Drosophila melanogaster: one gene and its partners. The protein of the gene in region 2 interacts with the protein of the main gene of each other region in a pairwise test. Each region holds a gene or a part of one and is shown on either strand. Other genes may lie near its edges.

Region 1 (5,827 bases), on a different chromosome or scaffold from region 2:
GAAAGTTGGCAACAACGCAAATAAACTATGTAAAGTGGCTTCTTCAATGGAGAAAGAAGCCAATGCGAATAAGATGTTGCCGCAGGAACTTCATTTTGCTCAGCAGTGTTTTTTAATGCCCCTCAAGATAGTTAAAGGAAATTAATGAGTAGTAAAAGCGAAACGGACGGGCCAAGTTGCCAAAGAGAGTCACTCGATCCAACCACTCAGAGGCCACAAAAGCGAAATCAATATCCAATCATTAATCGTTAACTAATTCCATGAATTCTGCCCGACTTTGGGATCCCGGGTCCAGATTTTTTGGTCAGGTCCGTCTGTATTCGTTCCCATTTACCAAGTTCCAAAAACGCAACCAGACATGCCACACTAAAGACATATATTTATGCCCTGAAAGCAACTTTTGGCGTATTTAGAACAGCAACAACAACAAACAGCGGCAAAAAAACAGAAATATCAAGATAAAAATATTTTTTCGGGCGGCCCTTTGTGGCTCTTCGATGGGACAGTGGCTACACTGCCAAATATTACCCAGTCATAACGGTCAAATAAGATAATTAATAACCTCGCCAAATTTGAATAAATAATTACATATAAATTGAATAGACTGGAACCTTGAAACTATCTTTGCACCTATCAAAGTGATTTTAGTTAAGGTATGTCATGTCAATATTAGTCTTGATTGTTTCCGGTGTATTGGCCCGCCTAAACCAAGTATTTGCTGATTGCGGCTTTGTTGTTGTTATTGTCGTGGCGCGTCTCAAGTCTGGAGTCGTCTCTTTGGGCTCTCTTAAGGGATCTTCTTCTGGGATCTGGGACTTCCTCCCTCCACACACGCGTTTTGAATTCGATTTGCTGATTGCCGTTTGCTTCTTGGCGAGATTTCGATTTCGTCGGCAACAACAGCAACGACGAGCCTCGACCATGAAACAATTTTATATTTTTGTGCAGAAAAAACGAAGATCAATAAAATTTTACCGACAACTGTATTTCGCTCAGACATCGGAGTATAGGGCCCTAAAATTAGTGACCAAATTGTCAAAGTGTGGGCTTTTGGGAGGGGGTGTGGGTCACATTTTTGGTTACAGTAATCAGGACAGAATCGAGCAAAAAGAAATTGAAACTAAGCAGCTGGTAAAAATTTGATCTTAATTTTTTGTGCGCTTCGGTTTTGTAGACTCCGAAAGAGCTACAAAACAAAGTGTTGAAATTTATTTAGGGAATGTGGAGCTTTGTTGCGTTAGAAGGTTATGTTCACTCCATGGGAAACTAATGTGGCAAAAGACAGATTGGGACTGATTGATATGGACTACGATAAATGCTTACATGACCCATGAATTGTTATAATTAATAGTATAGGAAAGAAATGAGTGTATAAATAATATTTCACATCAAGAAAGTAGTTTTACTGCAGCATTTTCCTTGATTTCCTATTATCTACATTTGAGTTGAAAAGGTCCAGAAGTTTTGCCTATCAACTGTGAACTAAAAACACACAAAAAGAAAGTTGCCCCTAGGCCTTGTGCATAATTCTGTAGAAAAGCGAGAAACAAGGAGGCTTTGTAAAAAATGGGGATGAGAAGAGAGGGCGCCGTGTGAGTTCCTGCAGAATCCGCTGCAAGAAAGGTGCTCCAACAACAACAAAAACAAAAATGGCAATTCCCAGAAACGAGAGTGTGTGGGAGGTGGAGAAGGTGAAGATGGAGAATTCTTCCAAAGGAGCAAGAAGAGCAAAGAATAGGGGCCGTCACTAATGAATTTGTATGCAGAGACCGCAATGATTTGGCACAAAAACAAAAGCAACAGTAACGGAAATGCGAGGATTAAGAAAAAAAAGGAAAACGCGGGTCCAACGAACAACATTTTGTGAAATTAGTGCAGACAGTCGAAAAACGCACCTTTTATGTTTTGTAGCCTCTCTTCACATTTTACGATTGCCAGTTGTTTCTTTTTCCATGATTTTTGATTTATGCAAAAGCAATAAAAATTATTATAATGAAGGCGCTGACATGGCTGATGGCCAGAGCAAAAAGCGTGCACTGAGAGAAATAGCTTATACGAATCATCATCAAAGTTCGTCAAAATGATTATTCAATCAATCGGTTTCTTGAAGAAAGTGTGAAGATTTTGAAAAATAAATAAGTTATCCTGGTTTAATATTTAGTTTAAATACTTTTTAAAAACTACAACTGCCATTCTAATTTAAATTAAGATCCTCACATTTTATGTCTGTGTAGGCGAAGAACAGAGTTGGCGACACGTGATGATGGTAGGGATAAGGAGAAGAACTGGGGGCGATGACGATGCTTATGTTCCTTGTCCGTTACTTTAACTTTACTTGCTCTTTCTCCCGCACTGGGGCTCATGTTAAAAAACAAATAAAAGTTCAACAAAAAAGAGCGCGAAGAGAATGAGTCAGAATGTTTGTTTGACTTCTGCACAAAGAATGGCTTCTTATTTCTTTGTGCTTCTGCAAAAGCACATGTAAATAAATCAAAAGGCGACAGGAAAATCGCCATTTTCCCCGCCTATATGCACAATCATTTGGGCGCAAAAAGACTTTTTAGCAGAGCGCTTTAGTTTAACTTCCAACTATTAGCTATTTTGATGGTCAGCATAAATTCTTCACCTTTTTGCCGTAATTATCTGCAGGAGAGAGTCACTCCTCGCGGCTGCGCCCAAAAACGGTTAAACATAAAAAAACTAACGGCAGTTTTATAACGCTGGTCTTGGGAACTTGGGGAGATTACCTTTTGGGAGGCTGCGCCAAAAATGAGCGGAAAATGCCCGCAAAAAGAGTGGGCGCTCAGAGATCCCCGAAGATGATACACAAGCAATCAAAAGAAATGCAACGGCCTCATCGCGCTCCTCATCCTTCTTCTCCTCCTTCCTCCTCTATTCCATCTTCACCCATTTCTTCCTGCACTTGCCGATGCACCGTTACGCGGAGTTGAGCCCGGGTTCAAGATCACCGCACCCAGCCAAATGTTTTTTCTGTTATTTTTTCCTTGATTTTTTCGGGCGCATTCTCCGCCTTGTCTCTTTGCACTTTTACACAGATTCTTTGGGGGATATTTCGTCGGTTTATGATGTTTCTTTTCCTTTAGTTGGTGTTTTTCTATTTTTTTTTTTTTGTGAGGGCACTTGGGACTAACGGTTCTGTTTGGTGAAGTTAACAAATAAAAGTAGCGCGCGCACTCAACTCACCGACAAACAAACACAAGCGCACAAAAATGTTTAACACACCATCGTCGTGCCGGAGGCTCAAGGCTTTAACTTCCTCGATCCGCAGTAACTTGGTCACTTTTTACTTTTATTTCTTTTGATCAGTAGTAGTCAGGAGTTGGAAGGCTCTTTTGAGACACAACCGTCGCCGCCGATGGATTGCGCGCAATTGAATTTCCTCCACAGCGGCGACTCAGCTCGTCGCCTCAACGAAAACGACTTCAGAACTCAGACTCGAATTTCTCTGCCGACGCCGGCAGAAGCAGCGGCTGCAAAAAGGAACGCAGCTCGCAGGGGTGGCAACTTTTAGATACCTACTACCTGCCTTTTAAGGGGCATAGAATGTATAAAGTAACACTTCAAGTCGTGGAGTCTGACGTTAGCTAGACATAAAATATAACAACTTAAGTATACATACATATGTGTATAAATTATACTTTTGTTTAAGGATTTTCATAGTGTATTGGTTTAAATTTAAATGCAGAATAAGATGCATAGCTATATCCTTAGCAACTCGTATGAACTCTCTTACTCTCGAAAAATAAAGGGTACCTCGATCTTTGTTCGCTCTCTGCGCCGAATCGCTTGATACTCTCCCAGAAAGGACCAAAGGTTTCCCTAACAAGGCTTCTGGAATGTCGTAGAACAGGGGGATGTTATGTCATACGAGAAAGAGACTGTCTAAATAAGGATGCAGCCACTGATTTTGAAGGATTTCAAAAGCCTCACCTAATAGATTTTTTTAGGATACTTCTAGAATAATTTATAATATATTTTTAAATTTAAGAGACATATTTAGATATGGAAAGTTCTGCGTAAAGGATACACTTTAAAAGATTTAATGTATATTTATGAAAGCAAATTCATTGCTGACTTACTATAGGTACATATCCCAACATCAGCAATTGTATCCTTCCGAATGCATAGAAGATCCCCTAGAAGCCCAAAAAAGAAGTTTTAACTAAGACTTAAAGCCCAAAAAATGTTGTCCGTCGAGTGAGGCCTTCTGTCAGCTAATGATCGCCCAGAGCAGGCTGGTAAAAGTTGCGAACCTTGGGCCCGGGGACAACTCCATTAGGGCGGCCCACATTCGGTGGCCAGTTGGGTTTACATTTGGTTGGCGAGCAGGTGCATCGGCGGCAAGAGTGCGACCGAGAGTCGCGAGGAAAGTTGCGGCGCGTGGCTAGAGATCGATGAAGAAACCAGAAGACGAAGACCCGCGCTGCCCGCATATCGCGCATCAGGACAATCGCTGAGGCACGAGGCATGTCCGGACACATCTGGAGTGGCACAGAGTCTCATAGTCACACCTTGAGCAGAGCTGATCGCTTAGCTATGAAAAAGATACCATGAAATTTATTACATTTCTTTCAACCAGATCCTTTTTAAGCTTGATCAAAGAACTAAGAACTATAAATCAATTAATGGCATTTAAGATCATTTGTAAGATCAATAACATATTTCGAAAATGAAACCAACAAAGGATTTAAGTTTACTAACTTTTTATTCGGCTTGTAATTGTGCTTTATGCTTATCTTCAATGTGTCTGTACTTATATAATGAGGACGGCTAATATTTCAGCTTTTTTGCAGCGCAGCATAAGAGTCGCAATTTAGCATAAATGAAAACTGAACTGAGATCGCCGATGGCCAGGGCATCATTAAACACATTAACAGACAACAGACGATGGCGATGGCAGGTGATGCCAAACAGAGACAGGTTGGCAAACTGACTGAGTGGCTAAATGACTGACGGTATGACTGACTGACGGACTGAATGACTGACTAACTGAAGGACCGACTAAGAGCGCGGCTGAACGATCCCAATGGCAACTGTACACACAAACGGGCTCGAGTCGTTGGGGACTTTTAATGGGCTTAACCCGTGCCTCGAGGTCTCTTCTCACCGCCGACTCCACCGCACTCCTTTGTTAATTACAAAGGATGTGCCACAGGACAACATCTGCCGAATGCCAATCGATTCCCCAGCCCCTGGATGCTTAACCCCTAAATAAGCAAGCTACATTTTGCATATAAATAAACCCATCTTTGCTTATAGTTACAATGGTTAGATGATATACATACTTACATTTAAAAGTACTGAAAACATACTTTTGTTTATTAATATAACACGATAGGTTTCAAATGTAGTGTATCATAAATTTTCAAGAGGTCAAAGTTTACTTGTTTAGAAACCCCTATCCTTAGTGGGTTAAGCTTTGGTTGTATTCCGCGCAGCTGTACCATCTGTTTCCAGATCCTTCTGATCCTTGCGGCTTACGCACTCTCCTGCTTCTTCTTCTACTTGGTCCCTTCCCATTTCTGCTCCTGTTTGCCTGAATTTTCCATTTCTATTGTCAGGACGAAGGTATCGCAGAACGCAGCCATCGAAGGCCAACTATCCAGCGGCGAAACTAGTTTGCCACCTTTTGCGTCTTTAAGAACCGGTAACGGTACAAAGGTGCTGCCCCTCCCACTTTCCTTTCGCCCATTTGCGAAGCGTTCGAAATGATGTTTTGATATTTTCTCAGTTTTGGGCCCCAAACAAACCATACCAAATGGTCTTATCTCGCCCATTTTGACGAGTGCCTGCCAAAAGGGAAAAT
Region 2 (4,770 bases):
TTAGTCTAGCTTCCTGGACTCAATGGCCAACCAGGGAGCGGGAGTGGGATTGCAACTGCCAGTGGTGGCGGACAGCAAGCTAAAGAGATACCAGATCTTGTGACCCGTGAGATGCGCATTGGCCAGCGGCACAAAGATCTCCTCGATCTTGGCGCTGATCTGTTCCTGGTTGCCATTGATGAAGGCCGGGATCTCCTTGTCGAGCATGTCGTTGATGAACTCATTGATCCTTCCATTTCCCATTACACCGCCAATGTTCGAGGATACACCGCCCAAGCCGACGGCGCAACTGAACTTGTAGATCTTGATGGAGCCAAAGATGAAGGGCATCTTGTACTTGAACTCGCCCTGAATCGACAGATTCTGCAGGCTGAAGGACAATGGGCCCGAGCTCTCGTAGCGCACCGACAATCCCAGTTCCTTCAGCAGATTCACAAAGGTGTTGGTGTCCAAATAGTGGGCACTGGCCTTCAGCTCTGGGAAGTTGAAGTGGAACTTGACCTTCTTGCTAAAGGTGTAGCTGACCTTCATCTTCTTGATCTCCATGCCTTCCAGGCCATCGAAACGGAAGCGCAGGAACTGCAGCAGGGTACTAAGGATGACTATTAGATCCACTGATACAATCACTCCAATTAATTATAACTCACTCGACAACCGACTCGGCCAAGTGGATGCGGAGATCAGCATTGGTGTAGGGATCCAGTGGTGGAATTCCATATTGGGGCCAACCACAAGGCATTTGGTTCAGCAGTCCATTGATGGCCTTCTTCACCGATCCGTTCAAGATCAGACCCTGAGTATCGGGCTTGGCGGCTGTTTGCGGGGAATCACATTGCAATTAGTCCTCTGTTTGGTCAGGTGATGGATGGCTTAAGACACTTACGATTACGCGCCACCAGCTGGTCCCATTGCTCCTCGGTGAGCAGCTCCACATCGTAGGCCGCTACGCAGGCCAAAAGGGTCACAAAAACACAAACGATAGCTTTCATTGTATAGCCAGCCACCTGATTGATTGTCCCAGCCGGTCAGTGGCTTTTATAGCAAAGCTAGCGGATTCGAAGGGCAAGCCGAGGGGAAGGGAAGGGATCACTTAACCAGGTTAACAAATACAAATGCTAATCGCTACTTTTGATTAGCGGAGCTGCCATGAACATAACGCCCAATTCACGATAGGCTTCCGATTTAAAAACGAAGGAATCAAATCATTCGGCAAGTGGTTTGTAAAAAAAGGGAGCACTTGTTTCGCCTGAGTGGCTTGTTTTGGCCTAATCTCGACGTCCAATTGGCCAATCGATTGTCAATATCACTTAAAGAATATATATTGCCTATCATTGCGATCTGGATTATACACAAATAACTGGTCTACCGGGGGTAAAACTGCGTCAACCACTCCATGCAGGTGTCGGCGGATTACACTGGATGACCGATTCGTATCACTCAGTGGGGGTAAATTCTTTTGTCTTCAGAGCTTCAGTGGCTTTTTTGTACTCTTTAGAACCTTAAAGGCGTACTAAAAAGTGATTTATTGCTATTCTGATTACGATTTTACAAGGGGAACTAACACAATGGGTAAACTACTTATTGATAAACATATTGGGCTAGGACTGGCGTTAACTTTAAAGCCAATAATTCGTTAAGAGAGTATTTGACTAGCCATCAGGTGTTAATCGTCTGGATTTTTTTATTAATAGATCCATTCGTAAGACCTTTAAATACCCCAGTCGAGATATCATTCATAAATCACTCAATGCACTTAAAAATCACTTGATTGTTAATCAATAAACAAACTTTTCGCAGACTTTAGATCCGCAGAAGTGCATGGAGAATTTTAATTCCAAACAGACTTCTTTAGAAGATTATAATCATGCTAAATTTTTGGTAGTCGTTTTCAATTTTGATAATTACTTTGTTAAAATGTTTCCTATTGGCTTCAACACCTGCATGACCTTAAAATATCGATTGATGGAAAGTTTTCGTAAGACCATACATTTAATGTATGAGTACTCTGTAATCGCGAAACTAATGATTTTAAAATCTTGTTTCCAAGTCAACCACTAATCCTACACCTTCTTTTTTAGAAAACGTTTTAGAAAAACACACTTTTTTGAAGCCTTCTAACCATAACAAAGCGGGGACACACCCCAAATAGACTTTGATCTTGACACTCCTCCACAAGAAGGCAATGTTTGTACTTTAGTGAAAACTGTCTTTTTAAATCTGATCATTTCCTTAGGATAAGTACCCCCATGTATGTATATATAACTAATCATTAAAATTAAAAAATTTGCCAACCGGGGAATCGTTGGCCGAGATAAGACAGCAATAGGCCATCGATTGAACGCCCGGTGGCTAATCAAATCGTTCACGAGTACGAAGCCACCTTATCACAACCCCACCTGAAATGTTGATCGTCTATAAAAAGCGACTCGTGCGACCGGACGACTGAGTAGTATAAATACCGTAGGTACTACGATCAGTCGGTAGGACTCTCAGTCAAAGCAATAATGAAAATCTTCGTGGCTATTTTGGCTTTTGTGGCCGTTGCCAGTGCGGCTTCCATGGGCCAGCCCATTGGTGAGTATTCCAGATGATTTCCAATGCCCAAATATTTAGCATACCTATCCATTTGATTCTCTAGAAACCCAGTCGATCTCCAGCACGATTGTGGATGTGATCGAGGGCATTAAGGAGCAGATGCCCTGTGGCTTTACCAGTGTCGGCCTGCCGCCATTGGCTCCTCTTAGAATTGACCATCAGGATATCAACATCGATAGCAGCGTGCTGAAGGCTCAGGGAACCATTGATCACTTCCGCCTGAACGGTCTGAATGATTTTGATATCGATGAGATGAAGGTCAACGCCATCACCAGCAAGGTGACCTACAAGTTCACTTTCCGCGACGTGAACGTGGATACCCAATACGATTTGAGTGTGCTGCTAAAGAAGTACGGATTTACCATCAATCTGATCGGTGCCGGACATGCCAAATTCGCCATCAAGGATATGGTTATCTGGGGCACTATGAAGTACTCACTCGGCGTGATCAGCGGCAACCTGAAGCTGAAGTCATTGGAGGTCCGCACCCACTTGGGTGAGGTTGATTCCGAGATCGAGGGCATCCTGGGCGATGGCAGCATCAACGAGAAGATGAATGAGTACTTGGCCGAGGCCGTGGAGCTGGCCATCAATGAGAACGAAGATCTGATTGCCGATACCATCGAGAGTATTGCCCTGCCCGCCGTCAACAGCGTTCTGGACGACATCAGCATCGCCGAGATCATCTCCGGTGCCGGTGGTGATGGTGAGGGTGGAGAGAAGGAGGCCTGCATTCCCCCCGAGTTCGAGTGGTAAACAAATCATCGGTCATTAAACAACCGTTTATGAATCAAGAATTCGTCACCTGGCTCTTTTCTTGCGGGACTGGCTTTCGGTGGGTTTTTTTTTGTTCATTGCATTGGGAAATTTAAACGATGTTTTAAAAAGCTTAATATTTACAACATCCATCAGCTTTCATTATATTTCAAAGACGGTCTAATCTCAAGTTGTGTCCTATCTGTCATAAAACACTTTGCCAAATTATTTGCCGATTAATAAAGCTACTTCACATGCACAGAAAAAAAATGTAGATTCATACAAAATAATATAATAAGATATAGCGATTTTCAGAATATGATTTTTATATCAAAGGGAATATCTTAGAGCACTGTACTCAATACCTCACCATTTTGTGTCAATAAACAATAATTTTGATATGAGAGGAATGCCCCTAATATTTCTTTAAACCTTTATAAACACTAATTATTTAAGAATAAATAACAAATTGTTCCATATTTCAACCATGTTTTTGTAAATATAAGCCAAGAAAGCATTCACTGTTTATTCACTGTACATAGAAGTTTTCCTAATATTAAAATTTTTTAATCTAGACACTGATATTTTTGTGCTGTGTACCGATAGATTATCTCAATGGTCATTTTCCTATATAAGAGGAATGGATTTGGCAAGCTTCGACTAGTGGATTTTGATTGCCAAAAGGGTTAACTAGTGTTCTGTGCTAAGAATGAAGTCTGCATTCCTGATTGCGCTTATCGTGGCCCTGGCCAGCTGTCAAGGTGCCGAAGTTGCCGAACCTTTGTCAGGTGAGAATATGAAGAAAATTTTAGGGAAAATTTAATAATCATAGTTAATTTTCAGCCCAAGGACGCTCTTTCTCCAGCGTAATTGTGGACGGATTGGAGGCATTCAGGGTCGTCCTGCAAAATGGTAGCCCGAGATTTGGAATCCCCGTTATGGCACCCATGAAGGCGGCGCAGAGGTCGTTCGAAATCAACTCGGGAGAATTCAGTGGCACCTTTGGAGTCGAGAACTTTGAACTTCAGGGGCTCGATCAGTACGAGATTATCACCATGAACATGGACGTGATCAGGAGTCGCTTGACCTTCAACATCAACTTTGCCAGCCTTAACTTCACCACCGATTACGAGATGGACATGGGCAGTGGCTATCGCATCAAGCGCAACGGTGGCGCCTTCTTTGCTCTCGAGGATCTGAACATTCAGGGTAGAATTAGCTACTCCCTGGGCGTGTTCACTTCCCAGCTTCGTGTGAAGGATGTCCTGATTTACCCCTCCGTCGGCAATGTCAACTCACAGATCGAGAACCTGTCCAAGTACCGAATCTTCAATCGCAAACTGAACGAGATCATCGAGGAGTTCGTAACCCTGACGATTAATGAAAACACCGACTTTGTTGCCGCCTGGGTCAGCGAAC
Region 3 (4,355 bases), on a different chromosome or scaffold from region 2:
ATATGATTATATTAATAAGAACAATTTATATTTGCGACTTTTTCTAACTGACAGTGGTGTGATTGAAAAATGAGAAAGGAATTTGTTTTTTTTTTTTTGTATTTTTATCTAACAACTTACCATTTTTTCGAATGGGTACTTTTCCATTCGTAGATTCTAAGATCTTGATAGTAGGACTTGTGGAGCCAAATGAATACGCATTGGACTTTGCTATGCATGGGGCATTCCTTCCAAGAAAAACCACATTTAACAAAATATGTACTTCTGATTAAATATAAACGTTAATGGGTGATAAGTGGCTTATTTTTTTTTTTTTTTGACTTTGTACAGACAAATGACGCAAAAGGATGGACTTTAATAAAACGACTAAGAACATGCAATTTTTACGTCTCAAAAGAAAATCGAAATTCGTTACAAAGTTCCATTCTGTAAAACATATTATGTGGGGTACTAGTATACAAAACACTTTTTATGCAGAGCTGATCTTAAATAATTAAAAAGATAAAAAAGGATTGTTTAAATATAAGAGTTAATCTGATTGACAAAGTTCAAATTCTTAGAAATTAAATTATCGCTTTTCTGTACTGAAAAGTGTATCCAATGACGTTAAACGAATTAACTCTAAAATTGTTTACCCACCGCTTCGAAGGAATTTTATTTTTACAATACCAATGACAAGTTAAATTTAATTTAAGTCTATCAAAAATTGATTAACTGTGTTATGACTGCAACTAAATTAAAATCATTTGTAGCAAATTAAACTTGATTCCAATCAAATCGATTGGATTGATACCTTTAATTCCTATTATCGTTATTGATTTTCAAAATGTTTTGATAGACTTAAAAAGCGTTAAGTACTCACGCCTATTATGCTTATAAAAAAATTTAATAGGCATCGCAATGTTATGACGATTGAATTTTTCTTGTGAATCTCACGTATTTAACGCAGATTGACTGTTGACAATTGTAATTCATAATTCTTTGGGGGATTACCCTCGAATAGGTATTTCTATTTTTATCCGTATTTATCTTATAAATACCAAGAAATGATATCGTACTTTGTTGACGAAGCTTGAACGAATAACACAAGTGCCAGCTCTACATAACAAGTCAGACAACTAAAAGATCTATAGATGAAAGACATAAAAGAGACATCTTAATACCTCTACTTCCATATCAAATGGTCATTTATATTCTTTTTAGACATTATCAGTACAGTTTTTATTAAATTATTAAACTAAATTTAATCTTAAGTTTTCCCTTCAAATGATGACTGCATATTGGTTTGAGTTACGCGGTTGGATGAGCGTGGCATACTTCTCCTTCAGTTCGACCAAAGCCCTCTGGAAGTTCTCCACGCTGCTCTCGAGCTGGTTGGGACTGAGCTGCTGGACGGACTGGCCCTTGAGTAGACCATCGGTGGGTCGCTCTCCCAGGAGGAGAATCCTTCTCCAATCGCTGGCATCGGAGCTACCTCGCAGGAAGTCCTTGCGATTGCCAACCGCAAACACAGTTTCCTCCATATTCTCGGGCAAAATTGTGGGCTGCTGGGCTCCCAGATCGCCGGGCGTGGGTTGAGTTGGTGGCACTTGGACTGCTGGTGGTGTGATCCCCGAGAGAGATGACGATGTGGGTTGCGGTGGAGGAATGGGAGCACCGGAACCTTGGTTCACCGGTGTATCGAACAGTTCACTGGGCAGATTCTGCGGTCGATCGATCTGCACCACCTGGCCATCGGGTGAAATGTGGAAGAACTGAGCGCGACCAGCTAATCCCGTTCCTGGTCCTCCTGGAATCACTATAATGTTGCCCACAGCGGTGGTCAATGCAGAGGCTCCACCAAATCCGCCACCACCTGGGGTGGAAATGAAAGGAGGGACTGGAACTCCCGGTGGCGGAAAGGATCTCAAAGGTGGAGGAGCTGGGCATGGGAAACAATATCCAGGAGGACCAGGCGGTCCTGGTAAGCCTCTAGGCCCCTGGATGAAAGGCAGATTTGGGGGGTAAGGACCTGTGGGTGGATAGCCCCAGTAGCCAGAACCACTGCCAGAGAGACCGTTCTGATTGCCAGGAGGTCCAGGCGGACCTGGAGGTCCTCGTTCCCCCTGTGGACCAGGATCACAAGAGCATTTCACCAACGAAGCCTGGGCGGTGGAGCAAAGACCTGATGGAATATATGGTATTGTAATATTGTAGAAAAATTTATAAATGTTTTATAAACTTACCAGCAACCAGAAAAGCCAAGAGTCCCAAAAAACTCATGATGTACTTCGGATTTCTCTTCAGATCGGACTGAGATCCAAAATTCGAATTCGGCTTTTATAAGCTGAAAAACTCGAGAGCTACGTTTTAATATGCATAGAAAATATACAAAATAATCTCTAGATCGAACAGAAAACACATTTCCCGCATCTCTATAACTGTTCTTAACCCACCATCGAAAGGGAAATGCTAAGCGATCAAAAGGAAAAATGCCATCACCCAGTCGGCGCAGTGACAATTATGATAATTTATGCAACAAAATATACACGAACATCATTAGGCCCGACGACAAGCCTTTAAACTGGGTCAGCAGGGTTCTCGGTTTGATTCTTGGCCAGCCAGCCGCAATCAGCGGGACAACTTCAAAAATACATCAACTGTCTATCAGGTCATAAACAGTGATCAGATTGTAGAGTTTATGTGACCAAATGTGGGCGATACCCATCAAAGTGACACCCAGATTTTTGAATTGCCTTTTCATCAAAACGGAAACTCTTCAGGGATTATCCCAAGCGCCTTTACAGTTTCCACTGCCCAGAATTAGCATAAATTACGAAATCAATATGTTTCCAATCAGTTACCACACTACCACGGCTAGAAATGAAAAGGCTCTGTAACATTTCCGACTTATCACAGAATTCCATTGACGAGACAAAGCCCACCGAAAACACGCGTCATTAGTGGACGAGTGCCCACTCCGTAGGTGTTCACTTCCAAACTAGCGCCGTTCCCTGGAACTATGATGACACTGGGCCTCTTGAAAGTCCCGATAAGCAGAGAAGTAAATCCGGATGAAGGGTGGCTTGTGGCAGCAGTTGAAACCATTCGATACACTTCAAAATAGTTGTTTACTAGAAACTGCTAATCTCAAAGGTATGTCCATAGGTTATCTTACCAAACTTCCGAAACTTTGAATTAAAACGTACTTAGTGCTGAAGGAAAATTATTCAGTACTTATACTGATAATATTTTTGAAAGTTGCTTGTATTTGAAACAACTTAAGTCATTTATTCATATAGTTGATTCTGGAAAGCTCACCAAACATTTTAGGGTATAAGACACACTGTGTGTAAACACTGCAGTGATTGGTCGTATACGTAATATAAACATAGTTCAGTTACTTGAGACAAATCGAACATCATCAGTTAACGACAAGAATCCGAAAGGCTTTATCAATGGTGTTGTCATGGAATAACCCCAAAGTACTCCATCCATCCTGTGCTCCCAAACGAAAAGAAAACGAATGGAAGTGCCAGAATTGGCCCCCTAATAAATGGGATGATAAGACCGTTGAAGTTGTTTGCCTCCCAGTAATTGGAAAACAATTTGAGGGTCAATGTTACCGAGTGAATCAAAAATAGTAAAAGTGAAACGATCTGTGTGTTCGCTGATAATGGCCAAGATGAAGGGGGCTTATACTGTCATAAACTTTTTTTTTGGTTTTATATATTGAATTTATTATTAGATTATCGACTATTGCTAATCAGCACATTTCTTGCATCGTACATAACTTAATTGGCGCAAACAAGTTCAAGTCACATTTTGTTGCAGTTGCATAGATTGATAAGTTTTCTAGGCAAACAATTCAAATAAAATACTCGATGTACACCGTATGCAACGTAACATACGCACATATATGACATAAAAGTTATCTTCGGAAATATATCAAATATTTTGTGTAAGCAAGCTTCTTAGTAATTTAAGTAAGTAGAGAAATGTTATTTTATGGAACAGTAGAAATTACAAAACCAAAAATTAGTGTATAGGATTAATTGACTCTTAAAACTAGCAAAACGTAAATGCAACAGAAAGAGCTTTTAATTCACAATGTTTTCCCAAATTTTCTCATTTGAAACGTCTAGTCTTATAATTCCGAAGTAAACCTTTTAGGTGATATATGTAGTTTGCGTATACATCGTTAAACTGAATCTTTTATCTTTGGTGCGAATATATTGGACTGGCATTCATTTTCACACCAACATGAGAAGTGGGTAACCCAAAGAGACGAAAAGAGGAGAGCCAACTGGAGCTAAAGTTGTGAAACAGAACTAAAACTCTACTCAATAAATACAATTGTTAATCGATTAGGATGA
Region 4 (7,292 bases), on a different chromosome or scaffold from region 2:
AAATAAAATAATAAGTTACAATATATATTTTAACAAATATTAAATATATGTAATGCTAATGGTAATGGTACGTCGTAATGCTTAACTTTTTGAATGGTTAGCATTTGCTTGATACCTATCCGAAAATGCGTAGTCTTCAAAATCATCAAATCCAAGCCGCACTGTAGCATTTAGCTTTGCACATGCTTACGCCTCATTAAGGCATTTTAAAAATATTTCTCTTTGGCTTTGGTTTTCTCCCACTTTGCCCAACTTCCGAACTGATTTTCGCCTTATTTCGACCAAGTCATTTGCTTTTTTTTCTGCTGAACTTGAATTTTTGTTTGTAAAATAAAACCCCTGCAATCGCATTTAGTTGAAAGACACGTGCCGACAAGTTGTCAAGTACAAAGTTCGATTTATTTGCGCCGTGCAAAATAAAAGGTTTAACGATCTGCGGATTTGTCGATAGAAACTGGCACACGGCGAAGACAATGACGACGCATAGAACACAAGGCAGCAGAGGAATCAGATCGCGATCCGAGATCTCGGCGACTAGACCACGGCTGCTCACTTCATCAAGGGGGTCAAAGTCAACTCGGCATTCGCCCAGTCATCAGCAGACTGAACTCCACTAATAACCCCGATGCGAATTTCTAGTTCTCTGCAGCGATATTTATGGCCAGGCATTAGGGTGATGGCAACCGCCGAATTGCTCAATGGCAATCAGCAAACCTTAAAATAGTTTTTGCGCCAAGAAATAAAATTATATATGGCTTAATATAGCAATCTTCACCAAAACGCTCTTTTAGAAGTCTCAGCTTTTTTTTTTATTGTTTTGATTCGCTTTATGTTTTGTGATAGATCTGCATTTATAATGTATATGGTGATATAATATCTTAGGCTCCATGCGCGATGCTCTGCCGTGTGGGTGCAGGGATGCGGAATTTGTGATGTGCTGTGTATATGTGTGAATATAAAATCAGACCTCATTTAACGATGAAACGTATGTTCATTACTCCATACAACCCTAACAACTCTAAGCGGTAAGGTAAATACTAATGCCACAAGGGGATCATCTAATTGCATAACTTAAAGTAATTGCTTGGCTGACATGGTAGCTCCTTTAGATCCTGTTTTAGCAATGGAACCCTTGAGCGGAAGTCATCTCGTTTTGCCAATTTCAGATGCAAGCAATTCTGCACTACTCGAAATGTAAATCAACTTACGACAACATTAAGTAGACAAATTGGAATTTTATAAATAATTGTACATATATTAATTTCTCTACTGCAGATTTCATTCGACAATCAACTGGTTTTGCAATTTTTTTTTTTCTATGCAAGATTTTGATGATAAATGCGTGTAATTGTGTGTTAAGTGTGTGTTTTTGTCTTCTATATGGTTCCGTTGATTTTGTATAACAAGGTACAAATGCTCCCCAAACGCTAAAAAGGTTGCATTGTAAAACTGCGCTAGTTCGCATTAATATATGTTTTACTCGTACTATGAATGGGATTGTATGTGCTTTTACGATGATTGTTTCTTGGCATCCACTTCAGCATCTAAAAGGTTATTGGTTCGATGGGAACAGTGCATTCGCTATACATGACGCGGTACATGGCCATTTCAGAGATGCCATGGTAGTGGACAAAAGCGGCCGCAATGACCAGTATGTGGAATATTTGATGTGATTGACCCTGCAAAATAAAAGACTGTTAGAACGGTGCAAAGGACAAAACCATCAAGAATCGTACCCAAATGTCAAACTTTCCAGGGAACCAGCGTTCGGGAACACGGAGGGCGTACAGCAGTGCGCCCAGAATGTAGAGGAGGCCTGCAAGATGTATTTTGCCATTGTTTTACCATTATTTTAATATGCATATCTACAAGCACTCACCCATCAGAATTAGCCATCCCAGACTGGCGCGGCTCATCTGGCTGAACCAGCCCTCCATGATGCTGTAGTGAATAGCTGGAATCACACCCGACAGGCCAAAGCTCATAAATACGCCAGCGCGCAAGGGACGAAGTGCCGGCTCCGAAAACTTGTCCCATAGCGAGACCACGATGGAGAGGATGCCCAGAATGCTAACAACGGATAGGTATATCACCTTTGGCTGGTAATGACAGTAGAAGCCATAGTACAGCCAAGGCACAAAGGAACCCATGATCAGCAGCGCAATTCCACAGTAGTCAAGTCTGTTGGTAAACAAAACAATTAACATAATATCCATTTAATTAGTCGAGGAATACTTACTTAGAAAACAGTCTTCCCATCTCTACAGAATGACAGCTCAGTGTGTGAAAAGCGAATGAGAATCCTAGGCACACAATCGCACCGATAAAGAAGGCGCCAAAAACGATCTTCTCCTGTGTCTGGATCTCAACCGAGGGACGCGAGATGAAGTATAATGCCACGCCGATGAAGGCGATGCAGCCAAGAAGATGTGTCCAGATGTTGCCCGTTTCCGTGTGCACGCGGAAAATTGATTTAAAGCACGCACGGAAAGAGGGGAGCGGTGGGCGATGGCCGCGGTGTAGGAAGTCGTTATCCTGCAGCCACTTGGGTAGATTTTTGTAGTGGCACACTTTCCAGCTAGCCTCCCAGACCTACGGATGAAATGGAAAAAAATAACATATCATTCTATAGATAAGACATTACGTTTGGTAACTATAAACAAACAACAACAACAAAAAATACAGTCCCAACACTTAATACTATTTATTGAAATAAAAACAAAAATACAAAAGCTACAATATTACAAATCTTGAAGAGTATCTTCCATTTAAGCCATTCTTCACTTGGCAGCATCACTTGGCTTACCTTGCGCACAAACTCCTCTGCCTGCTCGGCGGCATTGTGTGCCAATGCGCCCAAATCAATTTCATCGGAGAGAACTCCGGCCTTCAGCACTTCCGTCATCTGTGGAATAGAGTGATAAGACATTAAACAGCTCTCAAAACAAATATAAAAAGCTTAATAACAAAGAAAAACTAAGAGCAAATGGGACTAACGACTGCATTTTCAGCTTGCTCCTTGACTGTGTCAGGGTTTTGGGTTCTGTAAGTTTCTTGACTGAGATCCGGCTCCAGATCCGGGTTGACACGCACTATAACCTCCGGCTGGGTCTGCATCTTGAGCGGCTAACAGAGATTCGAACGGAACTAGAACTAAATGTGCGAGGCAATGAGCGATTGTACTGTGAAGCCTCTGCCAGTCGCATACTCAATTTGTTGGCGGAACAAGAAAGCACCGAATGCGTTCCGCGATAAGATAAGCTTGCCCGAAACTGACTCCGGGCATTATCAGCACCGCATCGACGTAAATTTGTGATTTTTTTCCAGCATCTGTCGTATAAAGGGCTATGCCAAAGCTTTTTGCGTTCAATCTAAGCCTGACCTTTAAAGCCGGTGATCAAACGGGCAGATTGTCTAGAGTATAAGGCTCAAAGTCAAGAAATTTTACTTGACACCTTTCGGACAGACATTAAAGGCAAGGAGAGATAAGAGGTATAACTTTCAAATGGCTATGGAATATGCTTTAAATTGAGCAATTGTATTTAGTGAGTCATAAAAATGGAGAAATGGCCACGATAAGGTTTAAGTACAATGGTTATGGTACATTTTGCATGTGGCAAATAGACATTGGCCAATGCAACATTTCGATTGATAAGACGCCCGACATTGAAATGACTGCCTGCGCAGAGGGAAAATTGCGACTAACAAGTGGCAGCCGATAACCACATGGTGGTAGGTCAGCGATAAGAGCTCCGCCACATGTTTTGACGATTGCATTTCGTACTTTTCCACCTGGTGGAAAATGGAAATAAAGGTTAATAGCCCCAACTCACCTCCGCCTCAATAAGCTGTGTGTCCTCCGGGGTCGAGGGGAGTGGACAACCGGCGTCATCCTCCTCGACCAACTCATCGTCGTACTCCAGAATGTCCAGATCATTGGGGCTAAGCGAGTCCTCCGGTCCCCAGCCACGTCGCTTGCGCAGGATCATCTGCACCTGCTCAAAGATATCCTCGTCTGAACCTTCTCTACGCAAGGTGGCCGTGGTGGTGGTCACCGCCTCGCCGGTAGCATGTCCTTCGGCGTCCATGCCGAAAGTGGCTCGAGCCTGGGTGGTTACCTCCACCTCGGCGGGATGGCTCCCGCCACTCACATCAGCCGCTGAGCCCTGTTGCTCGAGGAGATTAGTGGCCGAATCCATGGTCTTACGATCCCGCGGATTCGTTTTGCACTCCGCAAATAGTATTCTGTAAGAGAAATACGTTCTGTTCAATACGATACATACGAATTTAGTTGTTCGAAAGCAATGCTAAGCGTTTGTTAGCTCAACGCTAGCTCGTCTGGGAAATGCGATATTTGTTTATTTGTTTATTGGTCTGCTCCGATCGCATTGCTATATAGTATGGCGCGACCTTTGTTCCCCAGTAAATCGGTTGTACGTAGCACATAAGTCTGTATCTGGTAGCTTTGTGTGTTTTATCACTTAGGAAACTTAGCTGCCAATTACGTTTTTACATAAGATGGTGTTCAAATGCGAGTGGGATCCTCAGTGGGTTAAGGTGCAGTTGCTATTTCGGGGAAACCATTATATAGATAGCAAAGTGCATGGAAAATGCAGCCAGAAGGCCACGTGTGAGTGGAATACTACCAACTGGCTTAACCCCCACCTGCACTCCACTTGCGCAGTTCCCATTTTTTTTATACGAAGTTACAGAAAGTGTCACAACACAAACGAACGATTAATCACTCGATTTCACTGGCGTTTCGTTACTATTCACTTACCACTCGAAAGTCGCGCAGTTGGCGTGGCTTCGACGGCAGGCCCAGGAGTCAACACTGGCGCGAAAAACTATTTGCTGCACTTGCTTCAATTGCGTGCAATTGCAGTTTTTCATCTGTTTTCCCTTAATTTAATTTTTTCTGTGTTTTTTCCAGTGTGACTGCAAGCGCGATAGGGAAAATCACTAGCAATCATATGGGAACGGAGGAAATGCGGTCATACCTTGACGCAGCAGCTGTTAACGGCTGTTAACGCTACTTTGTAGTCACAGCTCTGTAAAACAATGTGGCAACTCTGCGCAGCGCCCGCCATATTTGAAAATGCTTGCCAGCAAATCGTATTGCTCCCGGTAAACAAGGTGCTTTCATTATTAGTCAACATTTTTGAGAGCTAACAACTTTTTATTGGCGATCAAAGGTGGTACTTCAACTGACCAAATATTGGATATTTGCGTAAATACCTAACAGGCATTTGTTTTTTTTTTCATGAGAAATTACCGTGACGAAATTACAAGACGTATATTATATGAATAGAAAATTTTCCTCTAGTCTGTAAACACTTCAGTAACAGAGAAATTGTTTTCAAAAAATGTTAAGGCATCTCATTAAAAAACATCAACAATGAACTCAACTTAAGCCTGGTAGTTATGAATTAGCATGTGTAGTTCCCCGATATTTAACCTACTTAAGTATGCACATATCTGCCATTCCTTGGACACTTTTGCAAAGACAACAAAGACAACATCACAGCTTACTTAAAATATATATATTTAAATTAATTAATTAAAGTAATACAAGAATGTCTAATTATAGCTTTTTTAGAAATAGCATTACGGTGTTATAAAAACCCACAAATGTAGGCAAATAACAATTCTAATAATAAAGAAACTTAATTGGGAAGACAAAATGGTGTTTGGCTAGTGAGGAAATATCACCAGCCTTGCAGGCCCAATAAAGATTCACTTGTTTGGCAAGCTCTTAATAGCGCAATTTAACTACGTTTTAATAGCGCCCTTAGAATATTTATTGCACATAAAGGCCAATATGTTTAGTCAAGAGTCATTCATCTTTGTTAAACAAATTCAATTTCAAACATAAGACTATAGAACTTGCTTTGCTCAGGGGCAGCCCATCAAGATGATATACCCTATTGACCAATCCAGGCCAATATCATCCATCAGCTCTCGGCGTTCTGACCAGCTACGTTAGAAACTCGGCCAAGGAGCAGATTTCGCACAGACCCCGACTAGCGGTATTAATCGACTGAATTAATACATTTAGTAGCGCTGAAGTTCAGGGTCATAATCACAAAAGAGAAGCGCCGATAATGCGAGCTGTTTCTGTTTGAATGACGAGCGCGCGACAAAAAATGCTAAACGGCCAATGTGCTTCAAATGGAAATGGAAATGCCAAAGACCCGGAAGGGTGGCGACCAACACAGCTGCAGTGCATCCAACTCGGCAAACATTTGCATATTTGACCGGGCACTTAGCACGTGGGTGGAGTACATGGATCACCATGGGTCACACAAATCACCTGGGAATCTGGGAGACTGGTGAGAGTAAGTGCGTGAAATTGACCCATTCATTGGACGGACAATCGCTTCCCATCGATCTGGAAATGTGTTAACTGCGCCCGTAAACCCTATTTGCGTAGTTAAATTAAGTGCCAGGTTATGGAGTTGGGGCGTGTCATCCCCCACATTGGCACATATATATATATATATATAAGCACTTATAACTATGCTGCCAATTGAGTTCGTCTCAATGACGTGACGGCGATAATAAATCAATTGTCTAGCGGTTTATTTAAAGCCAATTTTGTAGCTGGAAATTGGCACACAGAAAGAAAAGTGGTGTCAGGAACTTATATATAAAATGTTATTATTTTGGTTATTTTTAAAGGGTCTAATGGAACTATTTTTATTATAAAAATGTAGATAATTTTTTAAGCATTTCTTTATAGAGATGTTTTTAGAAAAATGTTTTTTTAAATGGGCACACAGAAAGAAAAGTGGTGTCAGGAACTTACATATATAAAATATTATCCATATCTATTTTGTTAATTTTAAAGGGTCTAATGGAACTATTTTTATTACAAAAATGTAGTTAATTTTTTAAGCATTTCTTTATAGAGATGTTTTTTAGAAATAACACAGTATCAAACGAAAGTGGCGAGGATGACGCAAAATCCAATTAACCTGAGTTATCACTGAAAGGTCAAAGCACATAATAAAAATATAAACTCCATCGTGCGGTCTAAAAATCGCGACACATTATATATAAATATAAAGTGCATGTATATATTTTTTTAGAAATTCATTCCAAACACTTTCAGTGGCATACAAACAGATTTTCATAAAATTGTTAACAATTTATGATGATGAACTAGAGTCTCTCATAGTATGTTCTATGTATGTTCGTTAAATTCTAAACATATACCATAATATATATATGTATATGTATACATGTATACTAATATTGAAGTATATTTCGTTTTTACTGTGTACTTTTTC

The links.
Region 1: the proteins of CG8997 (region 2) and jigr1 interact in a two-hybrid assay, tested with the Drosophila melanogaster proteins (one large-scale study listed by BioGRID).
Region 3: the proteins of CG8997 (region 2) and CG10591 interact in a two-hybrid assay, tested with the Drosophila melanogaster proteins (one large-scale study listed by BioGRID).
Region 4: the proteins of CG8997 (region 2) and AdipoR interact in a two-hybrid assay, tested with the Drosophila melanogaster proteins (one large-scale study listed by BioGRID).

What each region holds. Positions count from the first base shown.
Region 1 is NT_033777.3:25,635,450-25,641,276, reverse strand, and holds the start of jigr1 (jing interacting gene regulatory 1), read right to left. Parts: upstream 3,435-5,827; 5' UTR 3,205-3,434; exon of another isoform or gene 2,748-3,204; intron 1,485-2,747; exon of another isoform or gene 1,324-1,484; intron 1-1,323.
Region 2 is NT_033779.5:13,842,997-13,847,766, reverse strand, and holds CG8997 (uncharacterized protein), read left to right. Parts: upstream 1-2,441; 5' UTR 2,442-2,504; coding exon 2,505-2,574; intron 2,575-2,638; coding exon 2,639-3,351; 3' UTR 3,352-3,852; downstream 3,853-4,770. Other genes in the region: CG7916 (uncharacterized protein), read right to left, coding at 1-592, 648-813, 884-989; CG33306 (uncharacterized protein), read left to right, coding at 4,061-4,139, 4,195-4,770.
Region 3 is NT_037436.4:5,597,396-5,601,750, forward strand, and holds CG10591 (uncharacterized protein), read right to left. Parts: upstream 2,298-4,355; 5' UTR 2,263-2,297; coding exon 2,226-2,262; intron 2,165-2,225; coding exon 1,263-2,164; 3' UTR 1,162-1,262; downstream 1-1,161.
Region 4 is NT_033777.3:22,542,879-22,550,170, forward strand, and holds AdipoR (adiponectin receptor), read right to left. Parts: upstream 4,969-7,292; 5' UTR 4,781-4,968; intron 4,688-4,780; exon of another isoform or gene 4,506-4,687; intron 4,321-4,505; exon of another isoform or gene 4,246-4,320; 5' UTR 4,200-4,245; coding exon 3,834-4,199; intron 3,396-3,833; exon of another isoform or gene 3,209-3,395; intron 3,154-3,208; exon of another isoform or gene 3,118-3,153; coding exon of another isoform or gene 2,998-3,117; intron 2,906-2,997; coding exon 2,807-2,905; intron 2,593-2,806; coding exon 2,240-2,592; intron 2,182-2,239; coding exon 1,880-2,181; intron 1,817-1,879; coding exon 1,737-1,816; intron 1,680-1,736; coding exon 1,545-1,679; 3' UTR 815-1,544; downstream 1-814. UniProt on the Drosophila melanogaster protein: Adiponectin receptor. In insulin-producing cells, regulates insulin secretion and controls glucose and lipid metabolism.